Oryzias latipes: one gene and its partners. The main gene of each other region encodes a partner of the protein of the gene in region 6 in a complex. Links are inferred from orthologs where the notes say so. Each region holds a gene or a part of one and is shown on either strand. Other genes may lie near its edges.

Region 1 (3,533 bases), on a different chromosome or scaffold from region 6:
CACTGCTCCACCTTCCACCTACATGGCGTCACTTTGACTTCTGTCAATCATGTCCCAGTAGCCAATGGGCTCGGACGTCCTGAAACACCTTTAACTGTCGTTGTGTTGCCCTCAGATGGACTACCGCTCACTGGTTCATGAGAAGGACAGAGCGCTCTTCTCTGACCTCAGGGTGATCCTCCTCGACATCCGCGGCTTCTACGTAAGACGACAAAGCTCCAGCCGCTAAATGCTTTGGATTCCAGACACTTTTGCTCACTTTTAGTTGGAGATTCTTGTAGCATAAATTGTTTGGTTTACAAAAAAAAGAAGTTACTTGGATTAAAACAAGTTCTTTTTAAATCTTCCTCCACTCAGATGTAGGATTTTAATGAAAGTATTTAAGGTTTTAACCAAAAAAAAGGTTAAATTCCTAGTTTTATATAAGAAAATGTGTTTTTAGGGGTGTTTTATAGCTAAAGTGTATTACCTTTTCATTCAAACAAGCTTCTCACTTCCTCAGGCCGAGCTGTACGACATCATCAACAAAAACCTGGAAAAGGTGACCAACCCAAAAGGAGAGGAGAAATCCTCCATGTACTGAGGCGGCAGCGGTACGCCGTTTTGGAGGAGCGCAACTTTAGATTTAGACTTCATGAACCGTGAGCTGTTATTACTGCTGTTGGATGCCAACACTTTTTAAAAACAGGAAAGAAAATTGCACTAAAGTGAACCTATGAATAATAAACTTGTAAATCAAACTGTGTTTAATCATCTGGTTTATTTATAACAAAAAGAGCTTTTCTGTCCTTGACGTGATTCATTCAAACCTTAAAGAATCAAAACTAAAAAATATTAAAAACAAAATGTCCAGTAAGAGAAATCCGCAAACTAACATCAATCCAGAACAACCAAAGATGTATGTACATTTAGAAAACTTGACATCTACACGTCTGGGCCTTCTCCACCTGGGATGAGCTGCAAAGAGAACCATTCTGATGAGAGATCCGGTCAGCGACACCCCCCCCATCCTTCCCACCGACTGCTTTCTCACCATGGTGATGTTGTTTCCATTCAGGAGGATCTGATCCAGCTTTGTTATCCTCCTGCCTTCCGGTGTGATTTCACTGGAAAAACAAAAACACATCAACAGCAAGCCCCAAGTACACAAAAAAAAAGAAAACAAGATACTTACAATTCTGTCACATCCTCCAGCACCATGTCTGACACAGAGTTAAGGAGCGGCTGTGGGCCAAACAGGGAAACAGCACAACACTGATACCAAAATATCGATGAAGGATACTGACAAAATCATCAAAACCTAACAAGGTTCCGACGATTTCTTTGTCTGTTTTCATGACGATGTGAATTCGAGAGCCGATGCATTTGTCCACAAGCTCTGAAGAAAGAAGAACAGTTATTTCAGTTTCATGCATGCAGTCTACAAACCACACTGATTTTATATTTTAACAGGTGTCTGTAACTTAACTTTTTGTTTAAAATAAAGTTTACGCAAGGCATCCAACATAAGGAAAACCATCTCTTAAGAGTAGTACATCCTAATAATATTAATGATAATGAATGACGAGGTGAAAACGTTTCCTTTTGGGCTAATTAGCAACACGGTCGCAAGGAGCGGCTAGCTGCAGCATTGCTATGCAATTCAAAAAGCGCGTCAACTACGAACCCTTTACGGCAGGACCATATTAATCGATGAATTAAATATATTACAATCAGACAAACACCCAAAGACTTAAAAAGTGTCATTCTTTAACGTAGTTTTAACAGCATGAGCGTTTCGATGCTAACGAACAATTAGCTGCTAACTCCTGCCCGCCATTGTCAGACCGTTCAAACCACGCAGCGGCCCCGGCTCTGACCCCCGCATGAACACTTCCCGGAGTTTTGCGTGAATCCCCGTCAGACCCCGGATAGAAAACGGGCTTAATTTAAAGCTTACGGACCGAGTGGGAGCAGCTGGGACGGGTTCGTGCCCTGGGTGGCTGCCATGTTTACTGACGAACACGCTTCCGCACAGGCCCGACCAATCGACAAATGAGCGCAGTCCAGCAGGCAAAAGCAATCGAACGTGGAGTATTTATTTGAACAGCAACGTTTGTTTAGGTGTAAGACAAAGGAGTTATAAAAACATTCTGGGAGGAATTCTGCTTTTGGTATTCTTCCAAAATTGCAATGCCAGTTCATTTACACGCAGAAAAATTTCTATTTGGTGTTCTTAATATCCAGATGTTGCAAGGAAAGTTTTATATACACAAAAATAAATATTTGAAGACCAAAACACTTTTTATAACATTTCATAAAGAGCTCTGTTTTTTACTTCAAATCACTTCATTATATGAAAAAGAAGAATGACTTGAAATTGCTTTGTTTTGTTCAGAAATACAAACTTCACGAGTACCCCTAACTAGTATTAGACTATTTAGATTGGATCTATGTTCTTTTATTTTATTTTTATTTTACTTATTCGTTTTTATTTATTTGTGTGTTATGTTCATTGTTTTTTTGTTTTTCTCTATTCTTTATTTTTTTGTTAATATGTTATGTTTGGCAATGGTGATTGATCTTCAAGGTAATGTTGATTACATGGTTATTGTTCGTTATTTAATGTATGATACCTCAATTGTCAATAAAGTTAAAAAAAAAGTGAAAGACAAAGAAAATGGGGTCTGAACATAATATAAAAACCCACCAATTTAAAAAAAGTTGTAACTGTTTTTTTTTTGTTTGGCCAACATGAGCAAGAGATTTAAAAGCCAACCAGAGTCCTTTTGTGTATCCTTTGATATAAGATCCAACAAAACATGTTTCCAGAATAAAACAAAACAAGAATCAATTTTGTCATGTATGAAATCACAAATCTTCTACCAAAGCACTTTAACTTGAGGACAATTCCAGAAAAGATGGATGTCTGTTTCAGGGGAATTGCAGCAAAAACTACAGATGTATCAATGTTTCATCTAATCTTTTTTGAATGAAAATTGTATCTGGGTAAATTCTGTGGATAATCCTAAAAGTAGCTTATTTTACTTAATTGGTGATCAAGCGTTTATTAGGGGTTTGCCAAACCTCCTTCCATGCAATATCATCAGCAAACATATTCCAATAAGACATGCTCTGAGGTAGAGATGCAATGTTAATTTGAAATAATGTTTCTTCTGGGATAACGGACAGACATATTTTCTCCACAGGAGTATTTATGGGAGAGAGCAGAAAAGGCTCGTCAACATGTTGAAATGTAAAAGCATGCCCAGCCTTCCACAATCTCACATCCATTTTTGTGTCAATTGTGGCAGAAAAAGCTGGAAGTTGCAGTATATATTTATATATGTATCTATTTATTTTTTATACTTTTTTGTGTGTAAAAGATAATTGTTGTTTTCTTCTTTCTCTTTGCACCAATGTGGGACAGTTTGCAATTTCGTTGTACTGTTGTACCAAGTGTGATTGTACAATGACAATAAAGCTTTATCTTATCTTATCTTATCTCAAAATCCTTCCTCTTAAAGATCAATCTTTGGAGAGCCACTGATTCA
Region 2 (3,400 bases), on a different chromosome or scaffold from region 6:
TATAGTTTCAAAAGCATGCAGTTCCTATTCTTAATATGTGCAACATTATAATTTTTAGTGGTTTAAAAAAGAAAACTTCTGTGTTTAGTAACTTCAGTGTTTGTCAAAGTTGTAGCTTAAAGCTACTACGTGTTGTAACGTTTAGGCACGCGCGCGCGCACAACGCCGCCTCACTGTTAACAGTTACGTTGACTGTTAATTGCAATGTTTACAATATTACCTAAATTCAAGCAACTTACATGTATTTCTTTATCAAGGCCCTCGTCGCCGTCTTTCTTTTTCTTCTGCTGCTGGATCTGAATGCTCTCGAGGGTCTTCAGCAGCTCTTCTTCCCGCTGAATGTGAGCGTGGTTCCTGGAAGCGAAGCTCTCCAGCAGCTCCAGCACTTTCACTATTTTTGGCACCAAACCCTCGACGCTCTCTTTACCGTATCCATCGATAAGCCTCTCCACCTCGGCCCCGATGAGTTTGGCGATTTCATAAACATCGTTGACTGTCAGCAAGGCGACAGTCTTGTTAAAGTAGCTCTGGCTCGTGTCTCTGCTCTCCGGGTAGGACTCCATGTCTGAGCCGCGCGGCTCGCTTCCTTCGTCGAGTGTTACTGAAAGCGACGGTGGCTTATTTGCTGCCACAGAAAATGAAAACTACGGAGGTTGTCGGTGCCCGACCTACCGCGCATGACATATCTGAACTTCCACCTTCTCCCATGCAAACATGAAGCCGGTCATGTTGCACTCCACTGAGAGAAAATAGCGAAGCTAGATCCTCCTCCGCTCCAGACCAACGCGGCCTGAAAGCTCAGTGATGCAGCGCGCCGAGACGAGACGAGACACCGTCACTACAGCTTAAGCCATTTCTGCAGGCAGAACGTCACTAATGATCTTGGTAAAACACCAAAACTAAAGCCAACTGTTCACAACACAATTGCACTTACAACAATAAAACACAATATCACAATGTTTAAAGAGTTTATAAAAATGAATCTTTATTTTAAACCAGGCTCACAATGTCACAGACGTGTAGTATAATAGAACACCAGAACATGGAAATGCCACTTTCACTTTTAGTTCCAAAAAGCAGAAGGGGAAGAGTGTTTCTCTGAATTGATGTCAAACACATTACAGAGTTCTAAAAATAAATGCATTCAAGATGAAATTCTAGAAACTAGGACAAAAAAAAAAAAAGATAACCAAACTTTTTTTTTTTTATAAGGACAAAGCAGTCATGGAAAAAAAACTCGAATGAAAGGAATCCTAAAAAAGGTCCTAACAGCTTTACATAAAACCTACCCGAACATCAGTGAAATATATTGACAGAAAACCGGCAGACTGAACTGATTTACATGATTCGGTCAGAAACCATAAAAAAAACGAATCTGGGACGGGGCGGCGACGCTCAACCGTACATGTCCTCCCGGTCAGCATTGTAGATCTCCCCCTCCTGCAGCGAGGCAAAGTTTAAAAAGTGTGACGGTCGATGGACTTCGTGGTAGAACTCTTTGGGGTTAGCCAGCTGCAGGTCGTACTTCATGTTCGGATCGTGGCGCACACCTGTAATACAATATGAGGCCTTTAAGTTTCATCAACAGGCGGAGTTTAGCCATAATAACCAAAAGAATAAATGTATGTAGAAATCTGATGTAAAATCAATGGAAGAAAGCTGAGGCAATGTCATGGTCAAATTAATTCATAAACGTTAAACATTTAATTCAAACATGAATAAATATTGAAGCTACAGACCCATGAAGTTGTAGTTCCAGGACACTTGGCCAGGCACCATGAAGAAGCCCAGGAATCGGTCAGAGAGCAGCATCTGCACTCGTTCATAGTGAGACGGCAGATAACCTTTGGGGTTGTTGCCTTTGTCTGTGTTCTGGCGACCCCACTCATATCCACTGGGTGTTAACTTGTATGCTGTAAGCGTGCAGGACCCCGGTGTGAAGCTGAAAACAAGTAAGGCACAGAAAACCATCACTTTTCTGATTAAAATGAGATGGGAGGCATTTTCATTTGAAGGAAATCACCTTCCCCCCCGCAATACATATAGCATTATTTTCCAGATTTATGGAAAAATGACAGATTTTCCTCCAGTGTAAACAGGAAAAAAAAAGAACAGAAAGGTAACTCACCTGCAAGTAATGATGATGGTCTTTTCTCCATCCCAAGACGGGTTGTCGGCCATGATCTTGGCATGGGTCGTCACATCTTGAGGGGACAACTGAGGCGACTCGTTAGGCTGTGTGTGGATCCACCCGAGGGGCTCCATTTCCTGTTCATTCAAGAGCATGTTACCAACCCAGCTGATTCAAACATCAAAAAGAACCCCCCCAATAATCCAGTGAACAAGTCATACCTTTAGGTATTCATGACCGGGCAGCTGGTTGGGAAGGTGGACAGTCTGATGGGTTCCCCACTGAGGTACCATGACGATGCATCGGATCTCCTTCACTTGGGGGTTGTCTGGTGGGCTGGTGCCATACAAGTAGCCAGCAATCTTAAACCAACACAGGACATGGTCAGCATTAGTAAGAGTAAGTGCTTTGATATAACACAAGCCAAGTTGTGTCAGCAAATAAAGACCTGCGCTCGGAGATCTGAGATGCAGATGAACTTCTTGAGAACATTTTTGGGCAGAATGTAGGTGTAACCAGTCTCCTTGATGTCGTCAGACGACACATAGATGTGGTTGGTTCGGAGATGGAGGTTTGCAGCAGATATAGCCCTGATGGAAAACAAAAAAGTATAGAGATCAAATGACAACATTGTTTGTATTTCTAATATATTTTATAATGAGGTAAGCCTTTAAATGGGAATAAAACTGGATCAAATCAGCAGGTTTAATGGTGCATACCGGACTCTCCACTCAGTTTTGGAGGAGAAGGTCTGGGTCTCATAGTTTGAGGTGGTGGAGGTGATTATTTCATCTCCATGCTTGTTGACAGTGCGAGTCTGCGTGGCTGTGAGCTGTGACTGCTCTTTGGTCTGCTTCTCGATCTCAGCGATTTGCTGGCGCTGTTGTGATGGAGCAGAGATCTCCATACCCAAGATGATGTCACGGATCTCAGACTGGGTCAGAGAAGCCACGTTCACACTGAACAGAGTCAAAAGCAGATCTTACTACAGAACATAAATCCATCTTTAATCTGCTCATGAGTTTAAAAAAAAAATCATTTCTGAAAATACTCAAACCAGTGGCTGAGCAGCAGTCACTTAACACTCACTTGTTCTTTTTGCCATAATCAGCCAAGATGAGATCTTTGAGTTGCACTTCCACCTTGATCCACTCTTCATCAGTGAGTGTGGGCCAGATGTGATGGGGCTCAGTGATGGTCGTTTTGTCGGGCTTCAGAATGACTTTAGCGCGGTCGTTGTTGACATGGAGTGCTCTGAGGATCAGGATA
Region 3 (4,577 bases), on a different chromosome or scaffold from region 6:
TAAATGTTTATGAGGGATCCTCCACACCACTTTCCAGTTGTTACCTGGAACAAATTGATTACAATAATTTAAAATATACTATGTCACTTATTTATCAGTGTTTTTAAACAGCATTAATGTTCCTGATGGTAGGGCATTCTGCACCATTAACCCTTGTGCTATCTTAGATGACCCCACCCTTGCATTGACGTGTTCTCCCTACCATGACAAAGATGGATAAAGGTGGAAAGATTTCATGTAATCCATGGACACCAGTGAGGTTCACAAATCATTGAAGAAAAAAGGTTCAGCGCACTGTCTAGTGGGTCTAGATGACCCAACTCCCAATGTTAAAGTGCCTAGGATAGCACAAGGTTTATGGACTCTTGTAGACTGACAGGAAAATTATATAGCGATAAGGACACATTGTAGTTTAGCAGCTGCCCCTCCTTATTGAATAGCCGAGCCACCAGCAGGGTCCTATTCTGTGTCCAGGTCTCCAGGTGGAGTGATCTTTTTTTAAATGAAAAAAATCTGTTAATCCAGATGAAATATTTGTGTGGTGAAAAAGGATACTTGAAAATTAGGTTCCACACTAAGAGGACCTGCTAATGGAAAGATGAGAGTTTTACTGGGAGTTTCACAACATTATTGTTACAATTCAAAATAAAATTAAAGCCTCCAAAACTAGAGAAAAAAATCTGTAAATGGTATAATGTTCCAGATAGCAGTGGGGTTCTTAAGAAAAATTTTGGCCCTATTAATTTTAACATTATACTGCAGATAACATCTACTGAGCAGTCCTTAATTGCAAATAATTCACATTACTTTTAGTTTAAGTTTAAAGGGTGGGGTTATGAATGCTTTTGTTCTTCCCACTCATTTTCAAGCAATAAATCAAGAAGCTCTATTTGACATTAATGAATACTATATTTATTTAAGCAAATGTGACAAAAGCGAGTCTTTGTTTTAATCTATGTCTTTCATCATTTCTGTAATTAGTTTGTCAATCTGTGTGATTTAAAAAAAAAGTATTGACTACAGTTAATGCTTGAAATAAAAATAAATCAAATAAAATCAAATTACTTCCTCAAGCGTGAGAAGGCTCCCACAATAACTAATTTCCTCTTCATCAATAGTTCTGAGGTTTTGGATATTATTAAGTAACAAAGAAGAACTGTCCTCATAGTGTCCATTGTTTTTACAGTCCATGGTAAAAAGCGCATAGCACTGATTTTCATTCTTTCTTTCCTTCTTTTTGTATTCATTCAATAAAGTTTGAAGGAAAAAAGCGCAAGTATTTCGCTGACTCCGGCGAGCCACCGTAGACTCTTACTGCGCATGTGCGTGGTTTTCAAATGAGTGGCGTGTGAATTCAACATTGCTATTATTTAAAGTTAATAAGTTGTATGTATAAAATATCACTATGTCTGTTCAACCTACAAACCCAAACAATCCAATCGTTTTCTTCGACATCACCATCGGCGGTCAGGTAAGTGAGCTTAAAAGAAAAGTTGAATAAATGGCTAAAATTTGTTAGCTAAGGCTTAAGGGTAACTTGAAAATCGACTCAAATATATAGTTATTCTTTACAGAGAAAGAATAATATCATGTAAACTGCGCGTGATACGGTTTGCGTCTGTTTATTAGATGCATCCTTATAAATAAAAGTAGTTTTTGTGTGGTGAATCATCATGTGTCTCTGTCTGAATTTCACCGTCGTATTAACAAATTAAAGTCCGGTTTAGACACTCTTTTAACAAACGACGTTTTATTTTTTTTATATTTTTAAAAGCTTAAAGTAATGTTTATACAGCATTCCATTAGATCCAACAAAGACTACACAACATGTTTGGTTTTACTTTTGCTTATTTTCTAGCTTGTTTAATTCTCTACTTAACTTAGTCTGTGAGAGTCTTTCCGTCTGTACTTTGATATCGCAAAGCTTTTTTTCCCCTAGATCCATTGTGTTTTTTTTGTTTTTGTTTTTTTAACTTAATTCAGGTGAATCAAGTAATCAGGGAGTACAACACACATTTCCAAAGTTTAATATAATACTAACGATGCCCTTTCTTGCTTGCTATCTATCAATCTGTCTTTTAAATATGGCAAATGGCGTATACTTATATAGCGCTTAGCTACCTTCTTCAAGGCCCAAAGCACTTTACAGTCGCAGACCCAGTCACACACACATTCACACACCGATGGCGGCTCCGCTGCCGAACACTGGCGCCAACCTCCCACCAGAGGCCAGGTGGGGTTCAATGTCTTGCCCAAGGACACTTTGACTCATGGGTGTGCAAGGCGGGAATCAAACCTGCAATATTACAATCATGGGTCGACCGCCCTAACGCTGCACCATGCCCGCCGTAGATAGGTACCTTGTATTTAATTTACTGCTCTGGAGTGGGGTTGTATATCTTTCCGTCTCAAATGAATTGATGCGCATCTCGATACATGGTCTATGAATTGATACATAAAATATTCAACTAACTTTCCGGTACAGTCCAATTTCTTTTAATCTAAAAGGATGACAAATGACTAAATGGAAAACAATCTAGATATTTATTATTCATTTGGCATATAACATAAGGGCTGCACGATGGCACAGTGGTTAGCGCTCTCGCGGCGAGAAGACCTAGCTGGGAACTCTCTGTGTGGAGTTTGCATGTTCTCCCCGTGCATCCCTTCCTCCCACAGTCCAAAAACACGCTTCATAGATACATTGATGACCTTCAGCTTACTGTAATTAACCTGACTTGGTAGAAATAAGCTTGTGACTGGACGTTCCGATAGAGTAAAGCACAAAAAGAAGAGAAATTGACAGAGATAAACCGATTATTCCTGATCAATTTTATACCTCTATTTTAACATGATCTTGTTTGTATCTGTGATTCTCAACTGATATGGCTGTTACACTCATAACTTGATTAATTTCTTTTATACATTTCTGTATCCTTTACGTCCACAAACATGTTCTTTTTTTTAAGACATTTAAAAACTCTGAAAAACTTACGTGCTTCCTTTTTATAAGGCACGTTGATCTTACAGACTTCCAAGAACTCTCAGGTCCCAAAGGTATTTTCTTTTAACTGTCCCAAATGAAAGCAGCATAGCAAACAATGAGGCCTCATTTGCAGTTGTTGTTGATTTTATCGGCAAAAACAGCCTCCCCCAAGACATTCTGCCTCCGCAGAAATCATTATGGACAGGTTGGACTGACCTTTTTTACTTGTGTTTTTGTGCCTTGCTTCATCAATTTGGTGTCTCCTGCCTTATGTTTTTATTTTCCCCTTCAACGCGTCCTTGCTCCAGAGAATGATGATAGTTTCAGTAGATGTGTTTTTGTGGCTGCTTCTTTAATATGTGTCTAAATTGAGCTGTGACGGTGTGGGATTTTTGATCACCGCGGTGATGAACCAGCAGGGGGCGCTGCGTTCTTTTTTTTTTCATCCTCTGTTATTTAATAGGTTCCGATGAGAACCATTTCCCCGAGAGGCCACAAAACTAGCAAATATGTTGTAATTAACTAGCAGTTAATCTGCTTCTCCAATAGATTTTTGTCAACAAACAACTTATTTTCTCATCTGGATCTGGATGTTTTTAGACAAAAGCTGCATGTTTATACTGGAATGTCTTGCCACATTTGAGACTTTGTTGTTTGCTAATTCCTCATTACATATTAATAATTCATTCATCATGAGGAACTTCAATTTTCTCAAAATTCTCCATTGTTGTCCCAGAACATTGTTGGGAGTCGTGGCGGTGACGCAGGTGTGTAATCCAAACTTTAATCAGAAACCTAATACTCAGCCCGTTAGTTTTTTTTGTTTTTTTTTTTTATATTATTTTTATGAACCTTGCTGACTGCTTGCTGACCGTAGTCGTTAGCACAGGGTAACCGCTACAGGGACGAGCAGCTCGCCTGGTTCCGACCCGTTCCTGGTTCAGACCTGGTGACAAAAATACAACAGCTGGTCGACAGACGACCCGGAGAGGTTCTGCATGATGAGGCTTTTATTCACTTCTCATTCAACCTCATTCAACATGAAGAACTTTCCATCCTATAAGAGACTCTGGTCTGTCGCAGACACGCCCCCTCCGCGTCTTCACGCTGCTGTCTTTCTTCTGCCCGCTCGCACATCCCGACGGTGTGAAAGGTGTGACACGGCAATCTTAGACATGATCGTTATTTTAAAAAACCACAGAGAGCCGCAGGCTGCTGACCCCTGATTTAGCTGATGCTTGACTGTAATCCAAATGGCATAAAGCTAAACACTGAGCCAGAGTAAATGCTAAACATATTTATCAGAGGTTACCGGTGGAAATTCCATTCTTTTTTATCAAACCGTAACATACTTTATCCCGTCACCCTTAAAAGGATACAGTGGGTCAAGAAAATAGATGGATGGAAAAACCCACTTTGATTCTCGTTAGCTATAAAGCACATACCTGACATGGCATGAACTGCCTTTTTAATATTAAATACATAAAAATCGAAAAAGAAACTCACATGACTTTTGAATATATTTTATTGTCTACAGGATAAAAGCAATTATTTGTTTAAAAACCAAAGTATAAAAAAAGTGAAAAGTTGT
Region 4 (4,705 bases), on a different chromosome or scaffold from region 6:
ACTGGGACTGCAGCATGATGCATGGTTTTCAGTGCTTCTAGTTGGATCTTGTGCGTGTGCGCGTATTTACTGACTCCTTGCAAAGGGTCGACAGAGGAGTGGTTCTCTCCGCTCTGCAGGTGCTTGGAGAAGAAGCTATCAGGGACAGGTGTGAGTTTTTCATGGCGAGGGTTCCTTTGACGCTTGTTTCTTGCATCTCCAACTTCAGGGATGCTCAACCACTCCTCCTCTGACACTTCGGCCAACTTTCTCTAAAAAGGCAGAGGAAAACAAAAAGAGAATTGGAAAATATGTATGAATTATTAAAATAAAGTCTAATTATTACAATATCAGAACACAAATGACTAACATAGCACACCTACTACAGCACACTGGGAGACATAGCTTCAGTTTACAACATTCACAAAAATGAAATCATTGTCAAAAGCACCATCACTTCCAGCCAATATAAAGAAAAAATAAATGACAAAAAACTACTGTAGATTATTGTTTAGGATTGAGTTTGATTCTTTTTAGCCATTGATTGAATTGAACAAGACCGTCTTTTAAGGTGTGATGGATAAATGCAACAGAATACTATGACACAACCAGCACTAAAACGTGTATCTTCAAAATGTAATAATGCACAGGAATCCAGTGTGTATGCAACTCTTATCAGCAGCATCCACATATAGCAGATGGAAAGCTCAGTTAGTTAAGTGCAGTTCATAACGTTTGAGCTGATCGCTGATTATTTAGCAAATTGTCTTAGTGCATGGGAACAACCTGCCATAAGAAATCCGTATTTTGAGTAGAACTCCTGGTTTTGTTTATTCAATGCAAGTTTCTTTTTCTTTGAAGTCAAAGACTGTTTGACATCAATCAAGACTGAGTTACGGATATCAATCAAGTGGAGAGAATCCAGTAGTATTCTAAAGTAAAATGTGTAGAACCAGATAGTAAATAATCTGGAAATAATGTAAGTAGTGGATTCCATCTGTGCGGCCCTCAAGTGACCCATGAATCATTTAGTCGGTGTCAGTGGGCTACTTGAGTGCAGCATGTTTGATTCAGGTTATCTTTAGCAAGCCTCGCATTTACAAAGTCATACTGAGTGAACTGATATGTTGTTTTGATAACATATTGTTCCTTTAATGCTTGTTTTTTTTTGTTTAGTGGTTTAAGGGACAGATATGTATGTGAAAAGATTTAAACACGGAAAAATGTTTTTGAGATCCAAATTTATGCATTTTTGCTAAACATAATTTCTTCATTTTCATTTAAAAAAAGGCAATATTTAGAAACCAATACTACATTTGGGTTCCCGGTATTGGCATACATATCTCAACTTTTGGAAAGATCCCTCTCTCTCTCTACTCTAGCCAAGTTACAGCATCAGGAAAGAAATATCAAAATATCAACTATTACACTAAACCCATGTCTTTGCATTCTTGGCAACAGTTTAAAATCGAACAGAACAGTTTCAACACTGATGTAACATTTGTTTTACTTTAGCTCACACAACACAAACCTTAGAAGGCAAAAACCCCAGTAAATAGATGTTGGCAAAATAGAAATCCTTATTATCTGATTTAAATAAGTGTCTTTCACAATAAATTCCACCACTGGCTCTGTTTAACTTGTTGAAGTAACTGAGCTAATTTTTATGGCTTAAGCATAATTTAAAAGTATTATATGTCTTTAGACAAAGCTAATGAATTTAATGATAAATTAAAAAAGCTTATTGTCAATGTCAACTGAGAACTTTCATTTGATCAAAAGTTTTTTTTAAAAACAACAATGATTTGATGTGCAAGTGTTGTACCTTCAGATCGGAAAACTGTTGCTGGATTTTAGGCCTCTCCATACGATACTTTTCAATTTCTTCCTTTTCTCTTAGCTCTCTGCAAAAGCAAAGACAACATTCAACCCCAGAACACAGTCTTAACTTTTAACAGTGTAGAATAAAAATGCACAAATGGCACATGGAAAGCTGGAGGAATTTTGAGAGAAACCTTCTTTCTTTGCGTCTTTCGTCCATCCTCTTGTCCAGGGCTGCGTATATAGCATCTGCCTCCTCGTCATCTTTTTCATAAGGCCCGCTAGAGAACAAGCTACCCGCATAACCATTAAACTACAAAACAAACAAAACGACAGCAATGGTGTTTAGAGAAACAGCACAGTCGCAAAGTCGCTGTCAAACAATCCATAGATGAACCTCATCGTAGTTGGTGTCATTCAGATCTTCCTCATCCTCCTCCTGATTCTTTTTCATTTGGTCTCCCACGGTTCTTTTCCCTGGGGGAGCATGTCTGTCATCCACTGGGTCATTGGCATCTCGAGCAGGACCAATGTCAGACCGGGTGGTGAATCCAGTGGCACTAGAAGGGAATTTCCATTCAAACGTTACAGAATTGGACACTGTAGAAGGAATGAGCTAATTGAAAAATAAATAAAGGTACAAATACATTGCAAAATACCTTTAGTAATGCTGATTTTTTTTTTTATTATTTATGACACTGGCCTGTATAATTCACGTCAAAAACCAAATCTGTGTGGCTAGCCTAGCTAGTAGTGCGGTGCAAAAGTAAAAATCTGCCTCCTGAGTAACAAGATTCTTATGCTGGCACCCAAAAATGTATTCTTTCCGATGAAAATTTGAAAAATAGTGCCACAGTAGCTTTACATCACATAATATTTTATTGTTACAACAATGACAGGGTTATAGAAACAACAACACTTAACCAAAACAACCGGCTGCCTGGTTGCACGCAAAGCTACAATTTGCTACTACTAGCATCGGTTAGCTTACCCTCTGCCGAGACCAGGCACATATCCCAGCGGAGCGGGCATGCCCAGGAACGGCTTCTTCTTTTTCCCCATGAGCGGGGAGGCCAGGGGTATTATGGGAGCCCCGCCGCTGGCTGCCGTAGCCCCGGCGCCTCCCGCTGATGTTTTGGACACAATTTTGGTGCCTTGTTTAGCCCCAGAGGTAGCCATCGTTGCTCACACGACGAGGTGGATTACTGGCGGATGAACAACAGAAAGACTTCCGTTCCCATCAAAACACTGCCGTTCTAGAAATATCCGCTCCTTTTTTGTAACAGCGCCCTCTATAGGTCAGGCTCGTTACTAATACATTCAAAAAATAACTTTTACATTTTTTAAATTATTTTCTGGTGTCTGTATAATACGTTTATTTTACAGTTCTGTGATCATTGACCTTTGAATGTTTTATCGAATTATTGATTATGTTTTTCTAAATTGTAAGTTTTGTTTATGATTGCCACAAGGGGGCGGAAGTTTTCAATTTAGGATGGAGTGCTGCACAAGTGTTCTGTAAAAACACTAAAATGAAATATTTTGTTAAATGGAAATGGTTCGTCTTTAGAGTTCGAGAAAGTCAGTCAAACATCACAGCTTGCAAAGTGAAATTTCAAAGTATATGGACTAGAAGTTTAAATTTTAGAATAATGATATCAATTGAGAATCGTAAAAAACAAACAAACAGTAAAATGGGGTGTTGATTTAATTATCAAATGTAGTTAATGTGGAATATTGGTTTGTTTTTACATCAACAAATACCAAGATAAAACTTTGCAAATCTGAGAAGCTACAAAAGAATGAACCAGACAAGAGAAGATCAAACTGAGTCCAAGAAAAAACACAATTTGTGGTTTATTAAATATGAAATCCTAATAAATCTTAATTGGGATTGGAAACTCTAATGTCACATGAATATTGTATAAAATCTGAAAGCTTATTAAATCTTAATTGAGATTAACAACTTGGATGTTGCATGAATTGTTTATTCCATCCATCCATTCATCCATCCATCCATCCATCAATTTTCTGAACCCACAGAATCCATTTTGGTGCCAACCCAGCCACTTCTGGGCGAAGGCCACTCTGTTGCAGGGCCACACTCACTCGCACATCTAGGGGCAAATTAAGTAATCGATTAACCTATGAAGCATGTTTTGGACTGAGGGAGAAAGATAGAGAAAATCCACGCATGGATGTGGAGAATCTGTTTTATCTGAAGAATTATTACTGTTTTACTTGTGGTTTGCCTTGACTTTTCCAAAAACTGATTTCGTGATGATGTTGTCAATTTGTTTCAGCATTTGTTTGTGCCTTACAAATCAAACTGCACGCCTTGCCATTTGGGATTCATAAATCCTGCTTCAGCTGCCTTTGACTGTTGCTTTCAGCCCTCAGACCAAGAATGAGCATTTGCAGAGTAATAGAGGTGCGTTGATACACATTAGCTTGACTATTTCAACAAATTCAAAGAAAAATCTATTATAAATTAAGGCCTTTTAGCAAGAGATGCTGCCATCTTGCTATTCTAATAGAAAGTCCCTCTTGTATTAAATATTTGTGTTAAAAATCAACAGAATGCTACATTACACTTTTATTTTTTCAACAGACATTTTATTTCTTTTTTAGTTACAATAAAAGATTTCACTTTATGCACAATTCTTGTCATCAGAAAGGGCAAATAAATATGGCTTGCACAGACTTGACAATTAGCAATGCAAAAATAGAGAAGACCGCTTTCTAATAAAAGGTGGTTCTGTCCTCTGTGAGCACGCTGACTCAATACTTTTCTGTTATACCACTGTCAACTTCCTGTTGGGATGAGGTATCAAATATTATTACTGAAATCCATGCATACTATCAATGCAATAGCCAAAGATGAGAATTCAATAAAGTAATTACA
Region 5 (4,587 bases), on a different chromosome or scaffold from region 6:
GTTAGAGACCTTAGAGACCTTTCAGTCAGCAACATTTCTTTGTTTTTTTCTTCATAAGTCACAGACATTTTAACGTTAGACCAGGCGTCTGCAACCTGAGGCCCCGGAGCCACAAGACCAATAAAATATTGGGAATAGTGAAAAATAAGGGCTACATTGAAGTGGGGCTAAAGGCCACTGCTATTTATCCTTTAGAAGGCACATGATCATGCATTATTGTTTTGTATCTCTGTTTATCAACCCCTTTGTTAATCAGCTTAACTTTTAGTGACTTTTTGCTTTAAACATAAAACTTCAGTCACTGTATTTTTGTGTTGAAATCAATCATCCTAAATGAGAACATCTCAGTTTTCACAGAAAATAGTTAAACAAAGTTCCTCGAAATTAAGCCTTCCAACAACTGATATCTAATTCATTCGTTTCTAATTCAGACTATTTGTAATTAGTTTGACAGCACAAAGATCCCCGTTTTTTGGGGAAAAGTCCTATCATGAAATAAAGTTCTTTTAAGGTCATTTCCTGTTCTTTGTTCCACAGATGATCTCTATAGCAACACAAAAGTGTCACATAAGTCTGTTTGATGGGCCGTGTCCCAATACTGCCCCAGGCCACGGCAGGAAGGAGCATTTGCATGTGATGCTGGAGACTGGTGCATACGTGGAACTGCTATGATGCCACCTACCGGACAACTCTGGCAAGTGCACCCAAAAAAACAAAACTGGAAGTTGATTTGATTTAGACATAATCTCTAGTAAGTATCAACAGCCGCTGTGAGTCACTGCACTTCCTGTGACGTCTTTAACTGCCATAGCAAAATGATTTAATGCTGTAAAGTTTCAAAACAAACTCAAACATTTGAGAAAATTTCCTAAATATATTTACATGAAAGTCAAGTTTATTTTAATAATCAAACGTAAGATTGTTGACACTTTTATTCACAAAAATTCAAACAAGCTTCAAAACTGAATAAAACTGATGAGAAAACAATGAGACCAGTAGCTGGAATATCGTCCTCCTTTGCTGGAAAAGCAGAGTTTCTTCTGTTTGTCATCAACAAAACAAAAATACACAAAAAGGGTAAAAAATGGTTTAAAAAAAGTGAGAATCAGTATCTGTATTTAGTAGAATAATCCTTGGGAGAAACAACCAGACCCCGTCCTTTTCTGGCTCCTCGATACACCGTTTCTACAATGTCAATCATCTCCTGTTTGTCCTCCATGGGCCAGTTGATCTTGTTGTTGTTTCCAGTTCCCAAGTCAATCATGATGTGTTTGTTCCTGGAAAACAAACCAAAGGCAGGAGCGTTGGACATCATATATGATATGAGGACCTGTGTTCCAGTGATGAGGGTTCCTCACCTGAAGAAGAACATGACGGTGCAAGGATCGTACAACTCGTACATCTTGTTAAAGTCGGGCACTTCTGTGATGTCTACCAGGTAAATGACTGCAAAGTTCTTCACCTGAGAAGACAAAGGTGGCGGTTACTAGAACAACAAGGATCTGGACTTTGATTGCTGAAACCAAAGCTGTGACTTTAATGAAGGTTAAGGAACAGAAATTAATCTCCAAAACAGTCAATAAGATTTAGAGGAACATTAAAAACTAAAACTTCATTTTAACGATTCAATTCATATCATAATTTGTGGCTGCTGATCAGATTCATAATCGATATTTGTTTATTTTGAACGATCTGATTCTCTGGCCTAAGATCGATCCAGAACATCTTTATCCAAAACTTCAACCAGTGTGACTCAGAGATGAATACCTGGATACTGAACAGTACAGGTGACGTTTTCCAGATTCCTTATATTTCTTCAAGATAATCAAGTTTAAATTAATATGTGTACAAACAAACAAGTAAACCAGAATGAAAGTCAAATCCATTCACATTTTAGTTTCCTAAAGTTCAGTCCACTGTTGTTTTTCCACATCCAAAGAATCCTAAGGGAACAATATTACAACATTCTACCACACTGTCTGGTCACGTCTTTGCTAAATTCATATTGTTTCCACACATTGGACTGTTATGATGGTTGATCAGTTTTTGCTGACCTCACATGTGTGTTGTCCACCGTGATGCAATTGGTCGTTATTACATTACAGTAAAATAAACCTACCATGTCTCAATCCTAATTGTATTTTCCAATTTCAATTCTATTATCGATTTATCTCCTTTTGAAAGTATTTTAAAATGGTAGAGGCTGATTTGATGAGCTACTTGCCTCAGACAGATGGATCTGGTAGGTTCATAGGAAAAGAAATCGATTCGTCAATTAAGAATCAGGAAATTCCTGTTTTATCTGGAGCTTTTTGGCTGTTGTGGTGATGTTTTTCGTATGAATGTTTCTCCAAAACGCCATTTCTCTGTAAACCCTATGTATGTTGGTGCAGTGGGGTTTGTCACAAACTGCCGTCGTCTTACTGTAACCTGTGATTCAGTTAAATCTTCAGGTATGATCCTTCTTTCAGCAACTAACCAGAGAAGAGGGTTAAATCCTTAAATGAAATCTTTAAAGGATGACTGCAGACATTCAAACTGTTTTCTCTAACTGCTAAGCTTTCCTTACCCATTGAATATTTTCTCATGTTATGCATTTATTATCAAACTTGTTAACAGTCAAAAGCAGGGGGATTTGGGGACCAAAGGAAGGTGCAAATAATTTTCCCTTTTAATACTGTAACCAGACGAGCCCTTTTATTTTTCCATAGAAATTATGGTGCACATAAGAAGCTGATCAAACCTTTTCAGCGATACTATAAAGAACTTCATCCATCTTCATACACGTTGGGTCCCAGTCGTGTCCGAAGCGGATCACCAGAACTCGGTCTTCCTCAGACAGAATGGCCTGGTCCACCTGCCAGCCGTTATGGAGATGCGGTAGCATGTACGACATCTTGACCTAAAGATGGAGAATCCGAGACCGCCCCCGACCCAAAATTCTGAATGATAATGTTATCTTAAAGTGTTAAATAACCGCGGAGAAGAGGAGGTTGATGAATGCTAATGCTAAGCTAGCTGAAGAAAAATCTAGAAATCATGACAGCGAAACTTTAGAAGATGCGGAACCACAAACATGAACGAAAGAACCTTACCTTGAATTAGCAAAACTAAGTATAATGAAATAAAATTAGATTTCTGCTTAGATAAAATTACTTTGTTCTCTCAATAAAGAAAAAAAAATCTATCTTCAGCATCTAGAGCTCGTTCCTAACAACGTCACAAACTCGCGACGTCGTCGCAAAATGTCTACGTCAACATCCCACAAACCTATTCAGAGAAAACGTATTATTTTTTGTTCCTTTTTGTCCTATTTTATGACAAATCTAGTATTACTTTAACTGATGTTGACAAAAGTGAACAATTTAATAAAAACTACATGGAAGGCTTTAAATCGAAAGCAGGCTATGCGAAACCAGTTATTAAAAGAAAGATTTAGGTTAAAATGTCAAATTTAACAAGAAAATGAAACACTACATTCGGAAAGATAAAGGAAAGTAGAAAAATGTATACTTCTTAACACAACATCACCCCTTATATATTTCTTTATGTAGATCATTTTTCCCCTCTTTGTAGGATGAATAAGATTTATTCTACGTTGCCACATTTTCAAGGAAGAATTGATAGACAAAGCATTTTCACGTTTAATGTAATTAAAACCCCAAAAGAAAAATCATCCCATATGATCAATTTTTGGATGCCCTTGTTCCTCTAACCTTTTATGGGTAGAAATAATAGCTTCCTGTTAGGGATGCATGTGTACATGCACCACAAGTGAAAAACAAATGTTTATGGACTACTGCTTGCACAATTTTCAAAAGACAAGTAGCTGCACAGTATAGTTCATTAAGATTCAGTAAGTAAAAACGATTTTGACGCAAAAAAATAACTTGTAAAATCAAAACCCCCAATAATGATTTACCTTTGTATTTTCAATGTTTTATTCTCTTGTTGCTCCTTGAAACGAGTGTTACTTCCGTTTGAAAGTAGGCAGAGATACAGGAAACGGTTTTAAGCAGGAAAAAACACAGATAAAAAATTTATTGTGCAATTCATTACAGTACAAACAGAAAGAACGAACACAGTTCAAAGGTTATAGGAAAACTTTCCAGTCTTTAACATAGCAGCACATTATGGCACTCCTAAAGAGAGTTCAATTATCATTAGATACATCATTTTAATTTCCCCTTTAAGCTACACAGTCACATCTCTGTGGTTTTAAATGGACACATGATTCATAAAATCCAACTATGTTACACGATCTTATGTAGGACACATGATTGTTTTACAAACAACAGTGATAGTCAGCTTCCGGACTATCGTCAAACACTGCATTCACTCTTTAAAGCTGATAAAGACTGTTTTAAATTTGTTTTGGCTGTTTTTCATATTGCACAAAATCAGCCGTCTGGTCAAGTCTCTCAGCAGTCACATAGCGCTCAAACCCCCTTTCACCATTTTAAGATTTACAACTCCTCTGCAAAACACCCAGGTCTTCATAACATTTTGGATCAGACTCAAGGTTGCATCCTTTTGAGGCCAAAAGGCGGCTTGAGGAACATTCACGTTTGTCATGAAGACAAACAA
Region 6 (4,692 bases):
GTGTGTGCTCGGATGATATTAACAGTTTCGTTGTGACTTCAAGGGTCAAGTGACAACATTTATTCATTCTGTAAAGTCTTTTTAGAATAGGGTTAGTTTTACATGATAGTCTATAGAGAAACTCTGTTTTTGCTTTTAATGATCCACTTATCTACCTATCCATCCTCAGAACCCACTGAATCCTTTAACTGAGCAACTGTTGAGTAAAGTTAGTGGACCACTACGTCACTGTGCAGCCCTATATTTGATGAAAATGAATTAAGTTAACAGTTGCAGAAAGACTCACTCTATCAAGTATGTATCTTGTAATAAAAGAATTTCCAAAACATAGGAAAATTCATAAAAGGAGTAAATGGTCCAGAGTTATCTCACCTGTTTGTTTTTTATCCTGAACTAGAGTCCACTGAGACACCGTCCACTCCACAGTTTAAGCACATTTAGTGGAATTTACCCGTGTCAACAACAGAAGACCCAGGAGCAACGTCTTAACTTTCTCAAAAACAAAACAAAAGAACTTTTGAATTAATAATTATTTTAAAGATAAAACTGTGTACATTCAGTTGTGATTCGTTGCTATAGAGTTTTCTGTTTCAGATCAAGTTCGTAAACCATGATGAGTAAAGAAGCTGAAAAGATTTGTTAAAACATCTGAGTGCTCGACACTGCCCCCGTGTGGTCTTTCATCAGAATACAGAAAGAACTCTTGAAACAAAACGGTCACAATTGTGTTCATTTTCTGATTTTTATTGCATCAAACTGTAGATAAAATCAGAAAGACATTGGAGAAGAAACAGAATAAAACTCCAAATGGCACTGGAGACCAAAGGTTCTTTAAATTAGAAGACGTAAACAATAAATATATCCAGTTTTCATACAGAAAACTTTCAGCATTAAAGCATGAAAAGCATGCTTTCCTTTGACCAGTATAGAAAAACACAATTTCTTTACAAAGATTAATATCGTTATTAATATAGTTTAGGTTCTATGTTTTTATTACGACCCTACGTTTTTTTTTTGTTTTTTTTTGGTGGCCCTAAAACTCCGTCGTAATTTATAAAAGAACATTGAGGAACAAACTTAATCCTGATTAAAAACTCTTGCAGCAAATTATAGACATTTCAGGTTTGTGTTTGTGTGTGTTTTTAAATCACAGTAAAGGTCTGCATACTACAAAAAAATAAAGTTTTGAGGTACAAAAAGTATCACAAACATGTCTGGTAGCTAGACTAGAAGCTAGACTAAATCTGAATTAGACTTTTGATATTTTATTCAATTTTTTAAGAGATGGCTCATAATGTTTTTTATGTCTTTTTTTTTTAAAGAAATATGAGTGAAAGCCTAAATTTAAATCTCGGTCAATGAAAAACACCTGATAGTTCCTTAATAAACATTGAACGACAGTGTGTCTCCCTCTAGTGGCGCAAAGTGGTACTCACTCACCGCTGAAACACGGCGCAGGCTGATACGTCATCAACAGCAGCCAAACCTTCTGTAGAACACCACAGCCAAAATGGTAAGGCGTAAATCGTCATTTTAAAATGTACTTTTTTAGTTTAAGTCAAACATTTTAGGTTTCTGAGTGTCAGAATTCTTCTGAATTTCTTTTGTTTTGTCGCTGAGTTTGCTCGCAGTGTGCTGAGCCGCTTTGTCGGCCCATCATCGTGCTAACATCGTCTTTTTTTTAAAAAAAATCTACAGCTTTTCTACTCGTTTTTCAAGTCTTTGGTTGGGAAGGACGTGGTGGTGGAGCTGAAAAACGACCTCAGGTTGGTTTTGATAACTCAACATACCAATTTGTTTGGTAATGTTTCTTTTCAAAGCGCCGTTTGTGGTTAAAAATGGCGCGTGGTTCTGCTAGCGCTGTTTGAATGGGTGCAGTGAAGAGCTACTTAGCATTGACAGAGACATTGACTCTGTCAGAGTTGCTGTCTTTCCTTCTAGCTGGTGTTTTGCATCTCATGCTGGTCACAGTGGCGTGGGGTTGCCATCCCTTCCTTCCAGCATTTGTTGCAAATCTGGCTCAATAGGTTGGTGCCAGCAGCGTGAAAAATGTACTTTTTTTCCTGTTAGTTTTCTGAGCTAACTCTTGGTCTGCAAACGTGCTGCAAATTCATTTTAGACCTTTTTCCCGAAGAAGTAGGGTCAATTGCGGGGGTGGGGGTGGGGGGTCAATCAAACTAGCTGCATCTCATGATGAAAGCTCAAAAGTAAATATTAAAATTAGCTTACAGTTAGTTGTTGGGCATTCTTTAAAGACGTAACTCATAATTCTTAGCTCCTCTCACAGATGGACGATACTTAGACATGTGGTACTTTTTTTAAAAACCCATCCAAATGAAAAAAGTGGTTTTGATGCCATAAGCTCCCTGCTCTGCTCCATTCTGATGCATCCACTTGCAGGCAAATAGATTTGTCCGTCTTTGTTTTCCTGGTCTGAGCTGGCACAAATAACTGTACGGCTGGATTGCTCCAATATTACTTTTTTTTTCTTTTTTGTTGCACACCTAATGTTGGGTTAAGGGGGGGGGGTTGTAAGTTAGCAAAGGATGATGGGAAGATGGGGCAGGCTTGCTCTGCACCAACGATCTCAGACAAATTTCTAGTGAACAACTGCTGCTCTGCAGAAACTGTCCTAGAAAACGACGCAGGTTTTTTTTTTATTTTTGGCTAAAAACAGCACATTTAAAGACCACTAGGAGCGCTTTAAAAAGATAAGAGTGGGATATAAGAAAAAACAGACTTTCCTGCAGCATTGACAATAGAAATAAATTTACTGAACAAAAACTTTGACTTGTTCAATACAAATTTGCATATTCCCAGAAAGTCATTTAACATCAAAAGTTCACTGTTGCATTGAAAGCTTCATTTTCTCTTTTTCCCCCCAGTATCTGTGGGACGCTTCATTCTGTTGATCAGGTTAGAAAATAATTAATTCTTTACTTTTTTTAATTAATCAATGTATTGGTTTGCAATTTAAAAATGTTGTTCTTGTCATCATCTAGTACCTGAACATCAAGTTGACCGACATCAGTGTGACAGACCCAGAGAAGTATCCACACATGGCAAGTCCTCATCTATGGTTTACTTTTTAGTCTAAAGTTTGCATAGAGGCCTCTAAAACATACAGTTGTTTTTATTCTTTTATTTCCTTCTGTCAGTATAACAAACATTTTTAAAGTTGTCTGCTGGGTGAGAAATGTAGAAGCACACCTTTGGAAGTTCAGTTTCAGTGTAGGGCAGAGCAGACAGCAGTTCTTCAGGTAAACAGCAAAGATTTAGAAACATTTTTCAGAGTTTCTAAACTACAATTTTTCAGAAAAACATTTAAAAATATGCAGAAGTTCTACACTCACTGCCCACTTTATTAGGCGCACCTTGCTAGTACTGGGTTGGACCCCATTTTGCCTTCAGAACTGCCTTAATCCTTGGTGGCAGAGATTCAACAAAGTTCTGGAAACATTTCTCAGAGAGTTTGGTCCATATTGACATGACAGCATCACACGGTTGCTGCAGATTTGTCGGCTGCACATCCATGATGCCAATCTCCCGTTCCACCACATCCCAAAGGTGATCTATTGGGTTGAGATCTGGTGACTGTGGAGACCATCGAGTCCAGAGAACTCATTATTAATAGATGATTTCAGCTTTGCTGCGTTCAAAATCACTTAAATCACCTTTTTTCCTCATTCTGATGCTCGGGTTGAACAGCAGCAGATCATCTTGACCATGTCTAAATGCATTGATTTGCTGTCATGTGATTGGCTGGTTGGAAATTTGTGATAACGAGCAGATGGACAGGTGTGCCTAATAAAGTGGCAGGTGAGTGTAAATGTGGTTATTTGACCCGTGAGAGTGGTGGGAAAAAGAGAAGTGTTAGCTTCTGAATCCCCTTGGATGTGTTCATTCTCTTCCTCTGGAAGGCGCCCTGCCTGACTCCGTGTCTCACGTGTTTCACGCTCTCCAGCTGTCTGTGAAAAACTGTTTCATCCGCGGCTCGGTGGTCCGGTACGTTCAGCTGCCGGCAGACGAGGTGGACACTCAGCTGCTTCAGGACGCCGCTCGGAAGGAAGCCATGCAGCAGAAGCAGTGACCGGGGCTGCGGGTTCGGGGAGGGGGGCTTTAAGTCATGGGTTCTTTATAGTTCAGTTTGAAGAAGACCGCTGTGAACCGCCTCCACACACTGCGCCGGTCGATGGAGAATTGAGTGCATTCCTGATGTTGGCGATGGGCCAACTGCAGGTCTGTGGGTTTATGGACATTTTCTTTACTTCTGAGGCGGTTTAGGATCTTTGTCTTTTGTTTCATTCCTATAGAGTTTGGCCTAAAGTGAAGCCTGCAGATGAGACTCTGCCATTTTCCAATAGCTGTAACTTTTTTGTTTTTTAATGCCATTTGGAAATAAAATAATTTATATTTGGCTGTGTTGCTCCGCCTTTTTTTGTTTTGTTTTTTCTTTTCTAAGATGCTGGGGTGTAAGCCTGCACTATAAATTGCAAATGTATCATTATCGCCAAACAATCTTATGGCACCTTGAAGGGTTTAATGAATCAAATAAATCCCTGTACGCGTTTGACCAATCGGATGGATCCCTTTTGTAGATGACTCTTAATTAAATTAAACTGTTGACGGGAAATGGAAATTACATTTTTAGCTGTTTTGCTATTTATTCATGTGTCATAAGTTATATCGTCA
Region 7 (4,541 bases), about 19 Mb from region 6:
GTGCCGAGCCTCTCCCGAACTCAGTCACTCGGTGTTGTTGACTCAGAAACGGCAGCTTGAGCTGCAGGAATCCCCGTCTCCTCCCAGCTCCATCCGCTGGGATCCCGTTGGCCACACCTCAGTGTGTCCAGGAGCTCCAGGTAAACAGGTGAGTGCCTCACCTGACCAAAGATCTTAAAGAGCTCTAGGAGGATCCGCCGAGTTCTTCCATCAGGGTCCCAAAACCCACAATAAAACTAAGGTACAATTTATCCATGAAAACTAGACATTAAACGCCACATTTTTTTCTGCAGAATTTGATTTATTTTAACTTATTATTGCAAAAATTCTCCATCATTTAGAAAAACAATGTAAACATGGGTGTTAAGCACAGTATCCCCACTCTGCTTACAGCATTTCTAATTTAAAGTCGTTAATGCCGCAGATTTCTCCCTGTGTGCCTAAGCTTTCCCATTCCAAACACAAAAACTCCCTTCAAACTGACAAAAGCTCACTCAGGGTGTGAAAAGGAAGATGTGATCCAGCTCAGATCACTGCAAGGAGCGACTGCACCCAAAGATAAAAACAAACTCCAGCATAGGTTTTCCTTTTATTTTTCTTATCAAAAACAAACAGTAAAAAGCTCACGTTGTTCCTGCATAAAAATGAAAAGGTTTGCACTTCCGTAGCACATGAGCTCTTTAGAACAGAGGTTCCAACGTCTGGACACCACAAACAAAAGGGAAGTGCATTCAAAAGTCATTTTTACTGCTGATTCTCCAGCTTTCTTCCATTAGGTTGGTTAAAACAAAAACAACAAAAATAGAAACAAAACAAAGGTCTAACACTTCATGGGCGATTTAGCCGTCTTGCTGCTGTATGAAGGGGTTGGGTATGGCCTCCATGCCGTCCTGAGGACAGATCAGGACGACGGAGGTTCCTCTGCAGACCACCAGCCCCAGCTGCCTGGTGTCTTCTGTCAGCTTCAGCTGGTCGTCTGGATCTGCACACAGACACACAAAGGGATTGTAAATGCCAGAGGATGTTCATCTTTATGTTGCAGTTTTTGTACATTTAAAGAGATTTTTATTGCCGTCAGTAAATGTGACAAATGCTTAACAGAACAAGAGTCCACAGTTGATCCGATACTAGAGGAAAACAATATTACAATGCAAAGAGTTATTAGTTCAAACACAAAAACATTTTTTTCTAGCTAGTGGACTCTTAATGTTAAGGAAATGCTTCAGAATATGATAATGACCTATTAGAACCTATGCAAATGGGAGATAAAAACTTTGGTTTACGGAAAAACACGCCAAGTTTTTAATCGTTATTAAACGCGAGTTTGATGAATTATTATTATAGTTTTTAACTGGAGATCAATACAATTAATTTACTTAGTTTGAAGAGTGAAGGTGAAATTCTTACTGAAAGAAAAGTTACAATATTTAGAAAGGAGAATTAGAAGAAAAAACATTCTTACAAAAAACAGTTTTTCGCCATGGCGATCAAAGTAGCTCCAACTGCTCTTTGTGACATTTTAATGCAGCCAAATTATATATACGTTTAAAATGTGTTTACTTTATTAATCATTGTTAATCCGGCATTAGAGAGTGGGCTAGTGTTAATTTTCTCTCGACTTTAATGTGTCTTCATCATGAATGCTCATCATAGTAAGAAATAATGAGGTCATGTTATGTATTTGGAAAACAAAAGTCCATCTTGTTGATGGTTTTTCTGAAAAATATGAATAACCTTCTTTATGAATCTTTAGAGACATGATGCAGACATGATGCATTCATGATGACAAACAGGACATTTTTTCAAGATGGGGAATTGTGATTAGAAAACGCAGTTCAAAGTTTGATTAAAAACAAAACATTAAGTCCTAAAATACCTGTCTTAGACTACAGCACAATAAATCAATGTTTATTGAAAAAGTTCAGTCTCATTTTAATTTCCAATTTAACTTTTTTCAATTTTTATTAAAGCTTTAGTTTTTAAGAAATACACACTTTTGTAGAACTGATGAATTAAATTAACGCTGATGTTTTTCACACTTATTTACGAGTAAAAACTGCACAAGAACAGATGGAAATTCACGTATTAAGTTCAGCAAAGATGCATTTATCAGAGTCATTAGTGGTTTTACCCAACCCTAACCATTCCTCCAGGTCTGTGAGGCCAAGAAAGAAGTTCTGCACCGGCTCTACGTATTTAGAAAATTATGTGGGAATAGTCACTTTCATAAATTGAAGAAAAATAGAACTTTAAATACAAAAAATTGTAAATATTATAAAGGCGAACAGATTGGCTTCTCCTGTCTGAGAAGGCACGAGAAAATCGTTTAAAAAAAAAAAAGAAAATCTTGCGGCTTTGATGAGTAAATATTACATTTTTTAAATGGAGATCAATACAATTGATTTACTTAAAAAAACAGTTTGAAGAGTGAAGCTGATATTCTAACTGAAAGAAGAGTTACAGTATTTTTGGAAATGAAAAAGAATTAGAAAGTTTGAACCTCACAGCCTGAGTCCACATAACAGTATCAGTAAACCATGGACTAAATAACTCCTAACTACTTAATTATTAGTTCTCCATTAAGAAAAGTGGGTACACGTGAGTTTTCACTTACCACGCATGTACTCAATTGTACCGTCCAACACCAGGTTCAATAGAGGATCGAACCCTTTTAGAACTCCGCTGGCTAAAGAGGGAATAAACAAAGTAAATAATTATATTCTGACATCACTGTGAATATTCTGGTCACCACAAGTTACAATCTTTCGACAAGCCACCTACCCTCCCGTCCTCCTTGAAACTTCACACGAATTGGCTTGTCGATGTATTTGGACAAGTCAAAGATGCTCTCCTTCTTTTTCTTTTCTTTATCCTGTAAAGAAATGTCAGTTTCCAAGATTAATGCACAGTTTAAGGCGCAGACCCTTAGCCTAGCATTAGCTTAGCATCACTGACTAAGGCAGTAACAATTTCACAAATAAAACGGCCGTTACTTCAGAAATGTTATTCTCATTTCCTCAAGTATTCTATTACTGACTAACACCAAATAGAAAATGTTCGGTGAACAATAAGAGAGAAAATTAAACGAAATTATTTCGCACTCACCGCCATGTTTGAAGTGTGACCCGGAAGTTAAACTTTGACCCCAGATACAATTTAATAGCACCAATCACATCGCCGTAAACTCGCATCTGACGTCATCTGAAGTTATTTGCACTCAAAAAATAAAATAAAAAAATGTTCTTAGCTTTAGTTTTACTAAATAATTGTATTTTAATAGTAATTTTTAAAAAAACTTTTACTTTTCAAAGTTGACCTCTTTCTTAACTGCATTCTCCGGGCAGGGGCGTCTATTAATAAACAAAGTACACACCAGCTGGTGTGTTGGGAACCTACCGTAGTTGTGATCCAGAAACAGGACAAAGCAGTAGACTTGTTTTACTCTTTACAGTGACTGAAGTGAAGTTTCAGAGCTTCAATCAATCTTTTCCATGAGTTAGATAACACAATGGACGAAGATGGATATGCTTTTCATGTGGAAGACCCTGGGCCGGATTTTATTCCAGATGCTGTCCTACGGGTAGAGGAGGAGAACTTTTACGTCTGTCGGGAGCACCTGGCCCTTCAGAGTCCATACTTCAGAGCTCTGTTCTTTGGCTGTGGTGTGGAAAGCCGCAAAAAGCTTGTTGAGATCAAAGGTGTGGGTCGACAGTCTTTCAAAGTTTTGATAGAGTACAGCAAGACTCGCCGTCTGACTTTGGACCATGAAAATGTTCTTGGGATTCTTGAGACTGCAAACTATCTACAACTAGAAAAAGCCAGACTGCTGTGTTGCAAGTTCTTGGAGCGCGAGCTACACCTCACGAATTGTTTAGGAATGATGGCCTATGCATGGCAACTGGGCTGCTCTCAGCTTTATTCTGCAGCCCGGCAGGTTGTGCTCACACACTTCCCTGCGGTCTCAGCTGAAGAGGATTTTCTGTCCCTTTCCAAGGAAAGTATTGCTGATCTACTTGCCAGTGATGATCTGGCTCTCCACAAAGACGATGTGGCGCTTGAAGCCACCCTGCGCTGGGTTTCGTTTGATCCTAAACGAGAAGAACATTTTTTAGAGCTAATAGAGCTGGTGAGACCAGAGTCTCTCTCCTTAGCATTTATTACCCAACTTCTGACCAGAATGAAAGGTTCTGACCCTCGAGCAAGGCTCATCAGCAAGCTGAATGATCACTTCCCAGCCTCTTGGTCAGTAGGCAGGTCTTTGAGGCGGACCAAAGCTACAGAGACTCTCTATGTCCTGGGAGGGCCTCATGATCAGGAACAGCAGGCACTGTATCAGTTCCACCCTCTGAGCGGTAGATGGCAGTGCTGTGCACCTTTGCAGCAGAAGAATCTAACTCAGTACTCAGTAGCTGCAGTAGGTAATATCCAATTAAGATTAAAGAGAATGCTTTTCTTGAAATCTCAAATGTGAAATAAATGTATAAATTATATTACATTATAAATGTATAAAATAAATGTAAATTTAAGGTGTATTTTCCATT

Evidence for each region.
Region 1: lsm2 (region 6) and lsm5 share a complex: the UniProt entries of both Homo sapiens proteins name them as parts of the precatalytic spliceosome. The link is inferred for Oryzias latipes from reciprocal best matches to the Homo sapiens genes LSM2 and LSM5.
Region 2: lsm2 (region 6) and prpf8 share a complex: the UniProt entries of both Homo sapiens proteins name them as parts of the U4/U6-U5 tri-snRNP complex. The link is inferred for Oryzias latipes from reciprocal best matches to the Homo sapiens genes LSM2 and PRPF8.
Region 3: lsm2 (region 6) and ppih share a complex: the UniProt entries of both Homo sapiens proteins name them as parts of the U4/U6-U5 tri-snRNP complex. The link is inferred for Oryzias latipes from reciprocal best matches to the Homo sapiens genes LSM2 and PPIH.
Region 4: lsm2 (region 6) and prpf6 share a complex: the UniProt entries of both Homo sapiens proteins name them as parts of the U4/U6-U5 tri-snRNP complex. The link is inferred for Oryzias latipes from reciprocal best matches to the Homo sapiens genes LSM2 and PRPF6.
Region 5: lsm2 (region 6) and txnl4a share a complex: the UniProt entries of both Homo sapiens proteins name them as parts of the precatalytic spliceosome. The link is inferred for Oryzias latipes from reciprocal best matches to the Homo sapiens genes LSM2 and TXNL4A.
Region 7: lsm2 (region 6) and lsm7 share a complex: the UniProt entries of both Homo sapiens proteins name them as parts of the precatalytic spliceosome. The link is inferred for Oryzias latipes from reciprocal best matches to the Homo sapiens genes LSM2 and LSM7.

The regions. Positions count from the first base shown.
Region 1 is NC_019878.2:23,646,898-23,650,430, forward strand, and holds lsm5 (U6 snRNA-associated Sm-like protein LSm5), read right to left. Parts: upstream 2,063-3,533; 5' UTR 1,990-2,062; coding exon 1,944-1,989; intron 1,883-1,943; exon of another isoform or gene 1,868-1,882; coding exon of another isoform or gene 1,828-1,867; intron 1,379-1,827; coding exon 1,283-1,378; intron 1,203-1,282; coding exon 1,175-1,202; intron 1,107-1,174; coding exon 1,034-1,106; intron 958-1,033; coding exon 925-957; 3' UTR 742-924; downstream 1-741. Other genes in the region: psme2 (proteasome activator complex subunit 2), read left to right, coding at 116-202, 503-583. UniProt on the Homo sapiens protein: Plays a role in pre-mRNA splicing as component of the U4/U6-U5 tri-snRNP complex that is involved in spliceosome assembly, and as component of the precatalytic spliceosome (spliceosome B complex).
Region 2 is NC_019871.2:16,927,116-16,930,515, reverse strand, and holds the end of prpf8 (pre-mRNA-processing-splicing factor 8), read right to left. Parts: coding exon 3,221-3,400; intron 3,091-3,220; coding exon 2,851-3,090; intron 2,722-2,850; coding exon 2,580-2,721; intron 2,494-2,579; coding exon 2,353-2,493; intron 2,269-2,352; coding exon 2,129-2,268; intron 1,943-2,128; coding exon 1,740-1,942; intron 1,551-1,739; coding exon 1,396-1,550; 3' UTR 960-1,395; downstream 1-959. Other genes in the region: RILP-like protein 1, read right to left, coding at 240-563. UniProt on the Homo sapiens protein: Plays a role in pre-mRNA splicing as core component of precatalytic, catalytic and postcatalytic spliceosomal complexes, both of the predominant U2-type spliceosome and the minor U12-type spliceosome.
Region 3 is NC_019865.2:7,776,218-7,780,794, forward strand, and holds the start of ppih (peptidyl-prolyl cis-trans isomerase H), read left to right. Parts: upstream 1-1,296; 5' UTR 1,297-1,405; coding exon 1,406-1,471; intron 1,472-4,493; exon of another isoform or gene 4,494-4,577. UniProt on the Homo sapiens protein: PPIase that catalyzes the cis-trans isomerization of proline imidic peptide bonds in oligopeptides and may therefore assist protein folding. Participates in pre-mRNA splicing.
Region 4 is NC_019865.2:15,467,475-15,472,179, forward strand, and holds the start of prpf6 (pre-mRNA-processing factor 6), read right to left. Parts: upstream 3,030-4,705; 5' UTR 2,980-3,029; coding exon 2,792-2,979; intron 2,361-2,791; coding exon 2,198-2,360; intron 2,114-2,197; coding exon 1,995-2,113; intron 1,884-1,994; coding exon 1,805-1,883; intron 252-1,804; coding exon 75-251; intron 1-74. UniProt on the Homo sapiens protein: Involved in pre-mRNA splicing as component of the U4/U6-U5 tri-snRNP complex, one of the building blocks of the spliceosome.
Region 5 is NC_019869.2:14,391,535-14,396,121, reverse strand, and holds txnl4a (thioredoxin-like protein 4A), read right to left. Parts: upstream 3,243-4,587; 5' UTR 3,096-3,242; intron 2,903-3,095; 5' UTR 2,897-2,902; coding exon 2,744-2,896; intron 1,463-2,743; coding exon 1,359-1,462; intron 1,278-1,358; coding exon 1,106-1,277; 3' UTR 915-1,105; downstream 1-914. UniProt on the Homo sapiens protein: Plays a role in pre-mRNA splicing as component of the U5 snRNP and U4/U6-U5 tri-snRNP complexes that are involved in spliceosome assembly, and as component of the precatalytic spliceosome (spliceosome B complex).
Region 6 is NC_019862.2:27,136,602-27,141,293, forward strand, and holds lsm2 (U6 snRNA-associated Sm-like protein LSm2), read left to right. Parts: upstream 1-1,392; 5' UTR 1,393-1,510; coding exon 1,511-1,513; intron 1,514-1,698; coding exon 1,699-1,766; intron 1,767-2,885; coding exon 2,886-2,916; intron 2,917-3,002; coding exon 3,003-3,062; intron 3,063-3,964; coding exon 3,965-4,090; 3' UTR 4,091-4,419; downstream 4,420-4,692. UniProt on the Homo sapiens protein: Plays a role in pre-mRNA splicing as component of the U4/U6-U5 tri-snRNP complex that is involved in spliceosome assembly, and as component of the precatalytic spliceosome (spliceosome B complex).
Region 7 is NC_019862.2:8,272,265-8,276,805, forward strand, and holds lsm7 (U6 snRNA-associated Sm-like protein LSm7), read right to left. Parts: upstream 3,219-4,541; 5' UTR 3,112-3,218; coding exon 3,106-3,111; intron 2,873-3,105; coding exon 2,782-2,872; intron 2,687-2,781; coding exon 2,615-2,686; intron 983-2,614; coding exon 840-982; 3' UTR 571-839; downstream 1-570. Other genes in the region: kelch-like protein 24, read left to right, coding at 3,509-4,418. UniProt on the Homo sapiens protein: Plays a role in pre-mRNA splicing as component of the U4/U6-U5 tri-snRNP complex that is involved in spliceosome assembly, and as component of the precatalytic spliceosome (spliceosome B complex).